2 linked regions of the Cricetulus griseus genome follow. The protein of the gene in region 1 purifies or fractionates together with the protein of each later gene. This does not show direct contact. Links are inferred from orthologs where the notes say so. Each region holds a gene or a part of one and is shown on either strand. Other genes may lie near its edges. The genes, in order: Swsap1 and Spidr.

Evidence for each region.
Region 2: the proteins of Swsap1 (region 1) and Spidr purify together in Homo sapiens (co-immunoprecipitation; 3 studies listed by BioGRID and IntAct, with this or other methods). This does not show direct contact. The link is inferred for Cricetulus griseus from reciprocal best matches to the Homo sapiens genes SWSAP1 and SPIDR.

The regions. Positions count from the first base shown.
Region 1 is NC_048597.1:134,849,566-134,855,858, forward strand, and holds Swsap1 (ATPase SWSAP1), read left to right. Parts: upstream 1-3,269; 5' UTR 3,270-3,295; coding exon 3,296-3,538; intron 3,539-4,203; coding exon 4,204-4,806; 3' UTR 4,807-5,035; downstream 5,036-6,293. UniProt on the Homo sapiens protein: ATPase which is preferentially stimulated by single-stranded DNA and is involved in homologous recombination repair (HRR). Has a DNA-binding activity which is independent of its ATPase activity.
Region 2 is NC_048597.1:73,354,079-73,360,847, forward strand, and holds the start of Spidr (DNA repair-scaffolding protein), read left to right. Parts: upstream 1-2,760; 5' UTR 2,761-2,968; coding exon 2,969-3,043; intron 3,044-6,769. UniProt on the Homo sapiens protein: Plays a role in DNA double-strand break (DBS) repair via homologous recombination (HR).

The sequences.
Region 1 (6,293 bases):
CCAGTACTCACATGGTGGCTCACAACCATCTGCAACCCCAATTATAGGGGATCTGATGCCCCTTTCTGGAATCCATGAACACTAAGCATCTGTGCTGTACAAACATACATGCAGACCCCCTCCCCCCCCACACACACACACCAAGTGGCAGCCAGGCCTAGTGCTGCAGCTATAATCCAGCTACTTGTGATACTGAGACAGAAGGCTCATGAGTTCAAGACTTGCTTGGGCTACACAATAAGTTTAAAACCAACCTAGGCAATATAAGAAGTTGAATGTCTCAATTAAAAAAAAAGCCAGGTGGTGGTGGCACACGCCTTTAATTTCAACACTCTGGAGGCAAAGGCAGAGGCAGAGGCAGAGGCAGGTGGATCTCTGTGAGTTCAAGACCAGCCCGGTTCCAGGACAGCCAGGGCCATTACACAAAGAAACTGTCTCAAAAAAATAAAAAATAAAAACTAGCTGGGCACTGGTGGCGCACACCTTTAATCCCAGCACTCGGGAGGCAGAGGCAGGCCGATCTCTATGAGTTCGAGGGAAACACAGGCTTGCATGACAGCTCTAGAGCCAAGTCTGGGTGAAGAGACTGTCTGAGCCTGGTCTCCAGAGCGAGTGCCAGGATAGGCTCCAAAGCTACACAGAGAAACCCTGTCTCGAAAAACCAAATAAATAAGTAAATAAATAAATAAAATATGAGGGGAGACTGGAGACATAGCTCAGTAGTGAACCCTGGTCTTGCAGAGAAGCTGGTTGCAGTTTTCAGAACTCACATGGTAGCTCAGTCCTAGGGGCTCTGGTGCCCTCTTCTGACTTCTGAGGGCACCACACTCACGTGGTGCACATAAGAAATGCGGGCAAACACTTATAGGAATAATAAATAAATAAATAAAAATGTTTTAAGTGAGGGGAAAAAAGGGGGGCAGGTCTGTCTGTATGTATGTATGTACCTCAGGGTTAAAATGCTTACTTAGCTTTAACATAGGTGGAGCCCTATGTTCAAGCCCCAGTGCTGAAGGAAAGAAAGGAAGAAAAAGACGAAACCAAACAAACAAGCAAAAACAGAGCTAGATAGAGCCCCTAGAAACAACTCTTCTGGGCATGAAGCAAGAAGTGCCTGTGCTCAGTGTGCTCCTGTGACCTGGGGCTTGTGCGCCTTATGCTTTGTAGTGTCGGGCTGTGTGTCTGCGATGGGGGTGGGAGACTAAAGCAGCATGCTTCACAGAGCAGTGTAACAGTGTGCCAAGGACATATGTGTACAGAATGCCAATCACATAGTCATCTCAGTGTGTGTGTGTGTGTGTGTGTGTGTGTGTGTGTGCACGCCCATGCGTGCAAGGTATAGGGGTGTCCAGCTGTGTGTGTGGGTGTAATGGGGGATGTTGTGGAGCTGTTTTCTGTCCCCAGAAGGAGAGAGGAGTAAACTCAGGAAATCACAGTTCCGCCCTGCTCCTGGGTCTCCAGGCAACCATACCACTTTGAAGTTACTAGGAGACAAGGTTTCTAGGGAAACACAGGCTTGAGTGACAGCTCTAGAGCCAAGTCTGGGTGAAGAGACTGAGCAATGGGATCTTGGTTCTCATTAATTCTTCCTTCCTTCATTCAATGATTTAACAAGAATTACAGTTCTCAGGGCTAGAGAGATGGCTCTGTGGTTAAGAACACTGACACCCTCACACAAACATACAGGCAAAACATGCAGGCAAAACAACAATGCACATAAAATAAAAATAAATAAAAGAATTGCAATTCTACGGTGTGGACAGCAGATTCTCATGAAGAAGCATCTAAGGCCCTCGTTCTCTTGCACAACTTGTCCTCTCCAGTATTTCTCAATAGAAGCAATGTTCTCTCTCCCATAAACACAAGCAAGCATTAAGACGGTCCTAGGCCAAGGAGAAAGGCAGATGGCAGGCACCTTTAAGAGCCCTCATAGAGGGAGCCTGGGAGAAGGCTCGGTATGGAAAGTGCTAGCAGTGTAGGCATGAGGGTTGTGTAAATACCAGACACATTATCAGTATCATGGTGGGGCTGTGATGAGCTTTTGGGGGTGGAGACAGGAGGATCCCCAGAAGCTCTGGGGCCAGCCAGACTGATCTACACAGCAGTGAACATGCACTGCCTCCAATGAGATGGAAGACAAGGACTGACCTCCACACACCTGGGGTGGCACAGTCCTGCCTGCACACACATAAAGATTTTTTAAAATTAAAACAGAAATCAGGGTCAGTGAGATGCCTGAGGGTTCTTGCCACCAATCCTGAAGATCTTTCATCCTGGGAACCCACACAGTAGGAGAGAAAGAACCGCATCCCATCTCTGAACACATGCACACCGTGTCATGGGAGTACATACACATACACCAACATCCCTCATTGAGGGCTAGGGATGAGGCAGTGTGGTGAGTGCTTGCTTAACACGTACAAACCCTGGGTTTGATCCCCAGCCCTGCATTAACTTGGCATGGTAGCATAAGACATCTTCAGAGTTCCAGGAAATGTAAAATGATTGGCACCCTATCAAAAGAAAAAATCTGAGTCCCAAATCTGTAGCCCATATAAACATATTCCCATATCCAAGCAAGGAGAGACAAGCGAACAGCTGTCCCTTTCCATCTGTGAACTGTCCTTCGGCGATATTAGCGGATATTCACACCAACACACTGCAATGACCCCAAGGGATCACAACACTCGTTTTGCTGGTGGGCAAGCTGAGGTTAGGAGTCTGGTTTTTATTATTTATTTTAAGACAGGAGCTCATGTAGCCCAGGCTGGCCGAAAACTTCAATATGTAGCTAAGGGTGACCTACAGTTTTTTGTTTGCTTGTTTGTTTGTTAAGATTTATTTTTACGCAGGGTGTGTGTGTGTGTGTGTGTGTGTGTGTGTGTGTGTGTGTGTGTGTGTGTGTGTACGCGCACGCGGGTATGTATGTGTGTCTCGTGCCCGCGGAGGCCAGAAGAAGGCGTCGGATCTCTAGGAACTGGCGTTAAGGACGCTTGCAAATCACCCTGTAGGAAGTGGGAACCGAACCCAGGTCTTTTGGAAGAGCAGCTGGTGCCCTTCACGGCTAGGCGTCTCTGGGGAGCGCGTTTGCACCCTCGACCTTTCTTTTAATCTGATCACGCGGCTTCCGGCAGCAGATTCCCTCACGCACCACTTTGCTCCATGTCCCGTGTTTTGACCATTTACGACAGCTCCAGAGACCGAAAGTGACGCTGCGAACTATAGCCAATGAAACATCGGTGTGGGCGGGCCCGGGAGGAGGACGCATCCCTGATTGGTCAGCGGTACTCGGCAAATGGCGGAGGCGCTGAGGCGGGTGCTGAATGAAGGCCGCGCGGCAGGGCCCGGGGAGGAGGGAGCTCCGGGTCCGCCATTGCTGCTGCTAGGCGCTCCGCGCTCCGCGCAGACTTCGCTGCTGTTTGCGGCCGCCCTCGAGGCGGCAGGGGAAGGCCGCGGGCCTGTCCTCTTCATGACACGAAGGCCGCTTCAGAGCCTGCCGCTCAATACACCCGCAGCGCGGAACCCCTGGCGGCTCCAGGTAACCGGAGGGCCGGATCTGGAACGTGTCGCCCAATGGCAAGAGAGGTGGTGCATGAGTGACAGGTCGGCAGGCCAATGGCGCGTCAGAAGGCCTACGGGGACGAAGTGGGTGGAGGAGGCGGGTAGCCGCACGGGGCGGGGCAGTGCGGGTTTAGTTAAGAGTGAATGAAAGGCCGTCCTATGATCGCTCGGCATTAGCGGGCGTGGGCGCCAAGGAGGTGGAGTCTAAAGTGGAGTTAGTTTCCCTTGGAAGCACGCGTTCTCTCTCCCAACAACAATAAAATAGAGCTCTCAGCTAGCATGCATGAAGCCCTGGGTTTCGTTCCTCTAACCCGGCATGGCAATGCACGCCTGTGATTCAGTTCTCAAGAGGTGGTTTCAGAAGGGTCAGGCCATCCGGCTACATCACGAGTTTTCAGTCATCCTGGCTTACATGAGACCCTGTGTCAAAGAAAAAAAAAGAATCTTAACTAAAATGATTTTGGGCAGTGATACAAGCTGGAAAAGGACAGGTGACAAAGAAGGACAAAGAATATCTGAGCTGGTGCTTCATCCTCGAAATTTATATATGGGGCTCGACTGGGAAAATATGGAAGAGTCATGGCAGCCATAGTAGGGAGCCTTGGCCTCCTATGTTAAATCTTGCCTTTTCCTGTCTTCTAGAAGGTTCGATTCCAGTACCCATCCTCAGTTCCAGAGCTTCTCCAGCTTCTGGCCTCTGCCCATGAGACCCCAGGGCCTGCCCCGTCCCTTCTACTGCTAGATGGCCTGGAAGAATATCTAGCTGAAGACTCAGGGGTCCAGGAAGCCGCCTACTTAGCTGCATTGCTTCTGGATACTGCTGCCTACTTTAGCCACCGTCTTGGAGCCAATGGCAGCTGTGGGCTTGTGGTGGCCCTAGAGACCCAAAAAGAAGAAGACAATGATGCCCCACATCTGACATTGCTTCAACGGTATTTTCCTGCACTGTGCTGGCTGCAGCCAGATGCCCTAGACTTGGGACAGCACCATTGCCTGCGGGCCAGCCTGGAGTTGGGCAAGCTGAGCCCCAGGACGGAGTGGTCAGTGACCTTCTTACCTAGTGGAGAGATGAAGATCATCCCATGGCCTACCCAGGCTTCTAAGCCCAGCCCAGATAAAAAGTGTTCAAGTGCTGAAAGCCAGTCATTAACTCTGGAATGTGGCAACCTCTCTGACCCTCAGTTTCCCTTGGATAGAATACTTCCTTCAGGGACAGGTTCGGAATCAAAGACCTGGAAAATGTAGCATTGCTGAGCTGGGCTTGCAAGATGGCTCAGTAGATAAGGGGCCTTTCCAATAAGCATGATTACCTGGCTTTGATTCCCAGCATCCATAAGGTAGAAAGCTAGAACTGACTCCTGCAAGTTGTCTTCCGGCCTCCACATTTGGGTAGAAGCACACACATGCCCTCCACACAAATAGTAATAATAATAAATAGAACCTTTAAAATAAATAAATAAATATAATCATCTGAGGTTTCCTAGTTCATTTCTTCTTACTTATTGTGTTCTTTTCCCACAGGATCACGTGTAGCTCAGGCTAGCCTCAGACCAAATACTTAGCTGAGGCTATTCTTGAACTCCTGACCCTCCAGGCTCATCCCTTGTGGGCAGGGCATATGGAGTGTGCTTCCACACTTGGCTTCTTCTGTGTACTCTATGGTGCCTGCATATGAGTTACCTCTGTGTCTTGGCTTACATTACTGTTAGGGAGTCTAATCACATACACATACATGACCTTGCACATGTGTTTAGGGTATACGGTTGGAAGTAGAATCACTCTGTACAGAGTATGCACAGATTTAGCTTTTTTAGGACATAACATTTTTCAAGCCATTAAACTGAGTTTGAGCGTGGTGTTTTGCAAAATGGTAAGCCCAGCTTTGGGATGTAGAGATAGGAAGTCACAATGCAAGGTTATCCTTGGCTACTTAAGGTGTTGGAAGCCACTCTGTCCTACACTAGACCCTGTCAGAAAAAAAAAAAAAAAGGGCTAGGCCTTTAATCCTAGCACAGGGCCAGCCTGATCTATACGGAATGTTCCAGGCCAACCAGGGCTACAAAGTGAGACCATGTCTCAAAGTCAATCAAAAAACTAGGGAGCTGGAGAGAGGGCTCAATGGTTAAGAATTCTCTCATAGGACCTAGTTTCAGTTCCCAGCATCCATGTCAGACACAACCACTTGTAATTACAGCTCCAGGGGATCTAATGCTCTCTTTTGGCCTTCTTGGGCACCGACATGAAGTGGTGAACATACATATATAGAAACAGAACACTCATAACATGAAATGAAAGTACATAAATCTTTTAAAAGAAAGAAAGGAAGGAAGGAAGAAAACCCAAAAATCCGTCTTGGAGGTAAGCCCAACACCAGGGTGTTGTAAAGGGAGGTGAATAATCCATCCTGCAATGGGAGCCCCGTAAGCTTGGGAAGTGAACAACTCAAAGGCTTCGGGAAGTCCCTGAAACTCTCAGACAAGCTGAGCTCTACAATCTGTGGAGCTGTCTGCAGCCTGTGTAGTGTGCTCCAGGTTCCCAGTTTTGGTGAGATGTCACCCATTTTGGGGTGGGATTTGGCTATGCAGCCATCTGAGTCATTTCCACTTTCATAAGTAATCCCTTACCCATATTTCTGAGCATACACCAATAACTCATTGATTCATCAAATTGGACTTTGGTGGCACTCTACTTTGGTCTGTCATCAGATTTCTATTCCGGGTGAGTGGATGTTA
Region 2 (6,769 bases), about 61 Mb from region 1:
CTCGAACTCACAGAGATCTGCCTGCCTCTGCCTCCCGAATACTGGGATTAAAGGCATGCACCACCAACGCCCGGCCTATCATATCCTTTTAAACCCTTTTTTTTTAATCTTGTAAAAACTGTGTCTCCTAGGATATGCAACTATTTCAAAGTAAACTCTCTCTGATTCCAACTATTTCCTTCTACAGAAAATACAATTTCTCCTTTCCTACCAACAGATAAGGTAGGGAGTTTTGTGGTCCTCCTTAGTCAGGGACTGTGCCTCTCATCAGCGTGGGTTTGGTTATATAAGACTGACCCATCATAATTGTGCTCCCTCAAAAGATTTTTGAGATCATAACTTTCAGGAGAAAATTATGGCATGAGATTACAGACTAGAGAAAGCTGTATCAATATTAACATGTAGAAGAAATCAATAGGTAGAGGAAGGCAAGAAATCATCCCTCACCTGGTCTCACACAACAGAGTATGCTCAAGAAAGGCCAAATTATATCAATATTGGAGCAGAGGGTATTATGTGGATGTCCGATAAAGAGTCATGAGGCTCCTCCAGGCACATGCTTTTGGAGCACATTTTGTTTTTCTAACTCACTAGCTCACTCCCATTCTTGGGAGTGCTTCAAGTTTTAAAGTAGACTCTTTGTATTTGTATTTTTATATATTTGTATTCCTAACCACATATCTGTGGTCCACTTCTTTGCAATGAGACACAGAGTCGACGTATTTCAGCAGGTGTTTCTGTAGCTCCTGCAGGTTCCCTTCAGATTCAAATCTGTAGCTACAAAAGTTGAGCCGAAACACTCAGTGAAAAAGAGTTTTGTAAGAGGAAGTGACAGCTTAACATTGGATCAGGACTACAGATGGAGTGAGTACACACGCAACAGCAAGACTACACATTCCTAGAAAGACAAAAAAAAAGTACATTTGAAGAAGAAACTAAACTTAGTTTTAATCTTCATATAGCCCAGGATAGTCTTGAACTCACCATTGCTGACCTTGAATTCAATGCTAGAAATAAATCCTTGTAGTAAACTTTCAATATGAGGTGCACTTAGAGCTTGTTAAAGGGTTGCAGATAAGTAGGACATGCTGGACCCCCTTCTTCCCCATTGGGCAGGTGGTGTCCACTTGTCTCAGATCTCCAGGGCTGGAAGGCTGCAGGCTATGGGACTGGGCCCACATCAGAAATGAAGGTACTTTCAAGTCAGGGAGTAGTCATTAGATAAGGCATTGTATCCTGAACCAGAAGGATGGGGAACCTGGGAAAGGTGCCATGCTAGAAGGATGCGAAGACTGTAACTCTCTAAAGTATCAGTCAATGGGAAAAGGAGGGCAGGAATTTCTTGCAACTAGGGAGTTTTAAAAAAATTGTCTTGCCAGGTGTGGTAGTACACAGCAAAAATCTGAGCACTCGGGAGACAGCAGCAGAAGAATCTCTGTGAGTTCGAGGCCCGCCTGGTCTACATAGTTCTAAGACAGCCAGGCCTATGTAGAGAGACCTTGTCTCAAAAAACCAAAACAGACAGACAGAAAACAAAACAAAACAAAAAACCAAAAAAAAAAAAAAAACCAATAACAAAACAAAACAAAAAAACAAGTCTTGGGCCAAGTCAGCATGCCAGCATTCTGTCCTTTTTCTTTTTTCCTACACTGGAGTCCCTTTTTGCAGAATGGCATATTAAAAACTGCTTCACTTTTAGCAGTCTCTTTAATTGGTTAGTGAGGGTCTTGTTTCCCTGGCTCTGCCTATCTTTGGACTACAGACTTGAGTCACCACCTCCGGCTCTAAGCTCCACTCTGTATACATCTGTGAACACAACTTTGTGAGAATCCTTTCCTTTATCCATGCTAACACTTTTCAACAATGCAAATTGTTTAGTATTTTTGTTTAATGTGTGTCTTTAGAGTCTTCCTCGGTTAAGCCAGTTTCTCTCCAGTCCCATGCCAACACAGTCTCAACAATGAATGATTTAGTACTTTTTGACAATAGAAATCTTCACAGGCTCTGCTGTTAATCCAGTTTCCACTCAAGTACCAGCTGTCCTTCCTGTTGGTTTGAAATAGTCTCAAAGCACCCAGTGACAAGTATGTTCAAGTGCTTTAAAACATCCAAGGAGTGATCGCTTCTTCCAAATTAGAGCGATCCCTGAACCAGCTTCTAGAAGAAAGAATGTAAGTTCTCTGACGTCACCTCGGATCCATAGTATGTGAAATCATCTGTGTAACAAATCCAACTAGAGTTCCTGAAATCTTTTTAAAAATGATAATCTTTGCTCTTGATACTTGTGAATTCTTCCTCATTAGTTAGGGAAGTATTTTCTCGGGCTTACTAACATTTAATTACTAATTAACAATTATTATTGAATCTTAATGTACTTGGGGTTTTTATTTTATGGTTCATTGTTGCTGCAGAAAACACAATTTGAACTATGACATCTTGATCCTGCTAACTGCCTTAAGGCCTTGCCCAAGGGGCTTAAGGAACAGCCTAGGAGAGCAGCGCCCTCGGGCGTCGAAACTTGAAGATAGCTCACCCTAAGCCTGTGGCACCTCAGTCGGGACTTCCGGGAGGGGCGGAGCGTGAGAGTGACTGCTTCTGGATGGGGCGGAGCGCGGGAGGGGCGGGTTTCGGAGGGGGCGGAGTCCTCGAGGGGCGGCTTCCGGAGGGAATGGATTCCGGAAGGGGAGGGGAGTGCCAGGGGAGGGCGGCGAGCGTGGGAGATGTCTGGAGGTGGCGGCGCGGGCGGGTCCAAGGTACGCTGTGCTGTCGCTCTGGAAGCCGAGGCCCGGGCGCGCGGCTCCGTGGGCTTCTCGTGGCTGGCCCTGGCCCAGTGTGCTGGGAACGCGCGGGCTGTGCCGGTCGGTCTGGGGCAGGCTGTCCTTCCCCCTCGGGTCTGCGCCGAGCGGTCCCGGGAGCCCGGGAACTGAGCGCGTGGGTGGCAGACCGGGAGGACGGAACGCGCTCTGGAATGAGGGTGTTAGCTGGAGTCTGGCAATTCATTCGTCTCCGTTTTACTCTGTTGCTTAACACACCAAGACAGCAGGTATCTTTCACCACACTTTGCTTTCCCGCCCAAACTTCCTGAGAGGAGTTGCTTCTCGGATGTGTACACTACTGTAGGCGTGGCGTGCAGGAGCTGTACGTGGATGACATTTAAGAGAAAGGACCTTCTCTTCACTGCTCCGTCCTTGTGTTCCTCTTGGACCACAGTTTGCCTTTTCAAAGTTCCTCACAGTTGTTTCATAATACTCAAAATTTAAAACAGCAAACAGTGCTTCATTTCTTGGTCTGCCCTTCATTTTAACGGAGAAACTTGCTGCAAAAATATCCCACATAAATGCCTCGACTGCCTAATCACTGTTATTTCTCGAATAGACCCGATAGACCACATTGCGAACTTTGTAGCTCATTTAGGGACCAAAAGCATGTATAACGTATAACTTAAAAACTAATTCAGTATCAGAAAGATTAAAATGTAAAAAAAGGAATTGCAACGTTGTTAAATCTACCATAAATTACTTTATTATTGAAGCAATTGATACCGTTGTCATCAGTGTTTATTTACTTAAGCATCCCTGAAGTCCTGATTCCATGTCATAGGTGTTCATTTACTTTTCCTTACTGCCCTGCTCCAAATTTTGACATTGCGCTTTTTCTCAACTTTAAGAGTTTTCCTGGACAGTCTTTTATTTTTAAATTTTATGTTCATTAGTGTTTTGCCATAGGTTCCAGGTCCTCTGGAACTGGAGTTAACAGTTGCGAACTGCCATGTGGGTGCTGGCATTGAATCTGGGTCCTCTGGAAGAGCAGTCAGTGCTCTTAACTGCTGAGCCATCTCTCCAGCCCATCCATGTTTTGGGCAGACTTACGCATTGGTTTGAACTGCCACTATTGTATAGACAAGTCACAGCATGTTATGAAATCATCATTCTCTTAGCTTGCCAGCACCTAACCAGTTTTCCTAATTTAATAATCTAGTATTTTTGACTTTTTACTTCTGCCCTCTTCATTCTGTTATGTTTCAATACTTTTTTCAGTAGTCGTGTTAGTTGTTGCTGTTTCAAAATTTTCTCAAAACTGAAGCACTTTTCAACCAGAATTGCTACCAAAGGCCAGGAATCTGAGTGTAGCTTAGCCCTATGGTTCTAGCTCAAGAATTCCCACAGGGTCTTCTCCCAAGTTTGCTGAGGTAGTGGTTGGTAAGTTTCAGTTTTCTTTCCCCCCTCTTCCCCCTCCCATGGGGTGGCTTAAAACAGAGAAGTAGACTTTCTCAGTAGCAAGTGAGACAGGCTCTCATGTAACACAGGCTGGCCCTGAATTCATGATTAAGTGAAGGTGGCCTTGAACCTCTTCATCCTGCCTGTACCATGAAGTGCCACCACACCTGTCTTTCATCTGAGATTTAATTTTTTGTTGTGGGGGATAGGAGGGAGCAGGGCTCAATGTATAGCTCTGGCTGGTTTGGAACTTAGGTAGGTGAGGCTGCCCTCAAACCTGCAGTGATCATCCTCCTTCCTCATTGCTGGGATTACAAATGTGAGCCGGCACATAATAAAGCTTTATTTAATTCTCTCACCACTCCTTTGAAGAAAATACTATTTGTCTCTTTTATGGATTAAGGAGGTTAAGTGATTTGCCCTGTGTACATAGCACTCAGGTTGTCTCTCATGATCTTGCTTGCTTTGTGTTCATGCTTCATGCTCTTTTACACCTTCCATAATATGGCCAGGTTTAATTCTTTTCTTTTTTCCTCCCCTTCTGTTTTTTGAGATAGTGTTTCTCTGTGTAGTCCTGACTGTCCTGGAACTCACTCTGCAAATAAGGCTGGCCTCGAACTCACAGAGATCTGCCTGCTTCTGCCTCCTGAGTGCCAGGGTTAAAGGTGTGCACCACTCTTCCCGGCTGGTCTATACTTTTGATTCATTAGTATAAACATTATAAGATTAGGAATGATGCCTCCAATTCATGCTCCCTAGAGCAACTGCCATAACTGGTAAATATGTGATAAGCTTGTGAGTATACTAGGTGTGAAGAAACATGGAGAACTACCCTGATCACAGATTTAATATCAGTTTCAGCTCTTTAACTTCTGCTCATAGAGTATTGGACAAGACACTGTTGACCTAAATAACAGCTTGAGAGATATTTCCAAAGACTGATGATACTCACTGGAGATGTATATGCTATAGTAAAATATAAGCACATTCAAAGAGAATGAAGCAAGGGGAGATATTTAAAGACTGTAAGAGAAAAATAAGGAAAATTGTGTTTTTCTGATGACCCCCTTTGTCTTAGGGTTATTGTTACTGTGATGAAATGCCATGACTAAAGCAACTTGGGGATGAAAGGGTTTATTAAGCTTGTATTTCCACATTACAGTTTATCATCAAAAAATCAATATAGGAACTCAAGCAGGGCAGGAACCTGGAGGCAGAAGCTGATGCAGAGGCCATGGAGAGATGCTGCTTACTGGCTTGCTTCCTCATGGCTTGCTCAGCCTACTTTCTTTCTTTCTTTTTTTTTTTTTTTTTTTTTTTTGGTTTTTCGAGACAGGGTTTCTCTGTGTAGCTTTGGAGCCTATCCTGGCACTCGATCTGGAGACCAGGCTGGCCTCGAACTCACAGAGATCCACCTGCCTCTGCCTCCCGAGTGCTGGGATTAAAGGCGTGCGCCACCAACACCCGGCTCAGTCTACTTTCTTACAGAACCCAAGCCCATCAGCCCAGGAACAGCATCACCCACAATGGGCTGGGCTCTCCTCCATCTATACCAATTAAGAAATTGCCCTACAGGTTTGCCTGCAACTTGATCTTATGGAGGTTCCCTCCTCTAAGATATCTCTAGCTTGTATCAACTTTACATAAAACTAGCCGGGACATCTTTCCCAACACAACTTCAGGTTCTCATCTCCAGACCTTTTATAAGTGTTTCTTGCTTGATGGCTGTCACTTGGTAGAAATTATTTAAACAGAGTGTATACTTACATTAGAATTGAAGTATGGCTTTTGATTTTCAGGAAAGCAGGAGAGAGGAACTACCAGTAAGAATGTTTCACTGTTCTAGAAGGATTTAGTTCTATACAGAATAATGTTAGTTTTAGGCAATAAGAACAGCAGGGAGAAAGAAAGCTGAGTTTCATGGAACTTTCTAATGGCTGATAGTTTTTCCCTTAGGGAAGGAGTGATGGTTCATGTTAGGCTTACGTGGAGATACATAAAGAAGTTTGAGTATGGAACTCTGTTGTGTGTTTGAGTCTAGAGGGCTAGGAAATGAGTAAGAATGTTTACCAAAACTGACTGTGATAGTTTGAATGTAATGGTCCCCATAAACTCTAGGGAGTGGCACTATTAGGAGATGTGGCTTGTTGGAGTAGGTGTGGCCTTGTTGGAGGAAGTGCCACTAGAGGTGGACTTTGAGGTCTCATATATGCTCAAGCTACACCCAGTGTCTCAAACTACTTCCTGTTGCCTTCCGGTCAAGATGTAGGACTCTGAGCTCCTTCTACCATGTCTGCCTGCATGTTACCCTGTCATGCCATGATGATAATGGACTAAACTTCTGAAACTGTAAGCCACCCCAATTAAATGTTTTCCTTTATAAGAGTTGCTGTGGTCATGGTGTCTCTTTATAGCAATAGAAACCCTAACTAAGACACTGATCAAAGACATACCATTAAAAAACATGGAAAGAGCTAAACTTATCTTTGGTTCATTTTACAGTAGTCCTATGGACTGATGATTGGTTAAGTTGGTTGTAGTCTTAGTACTTA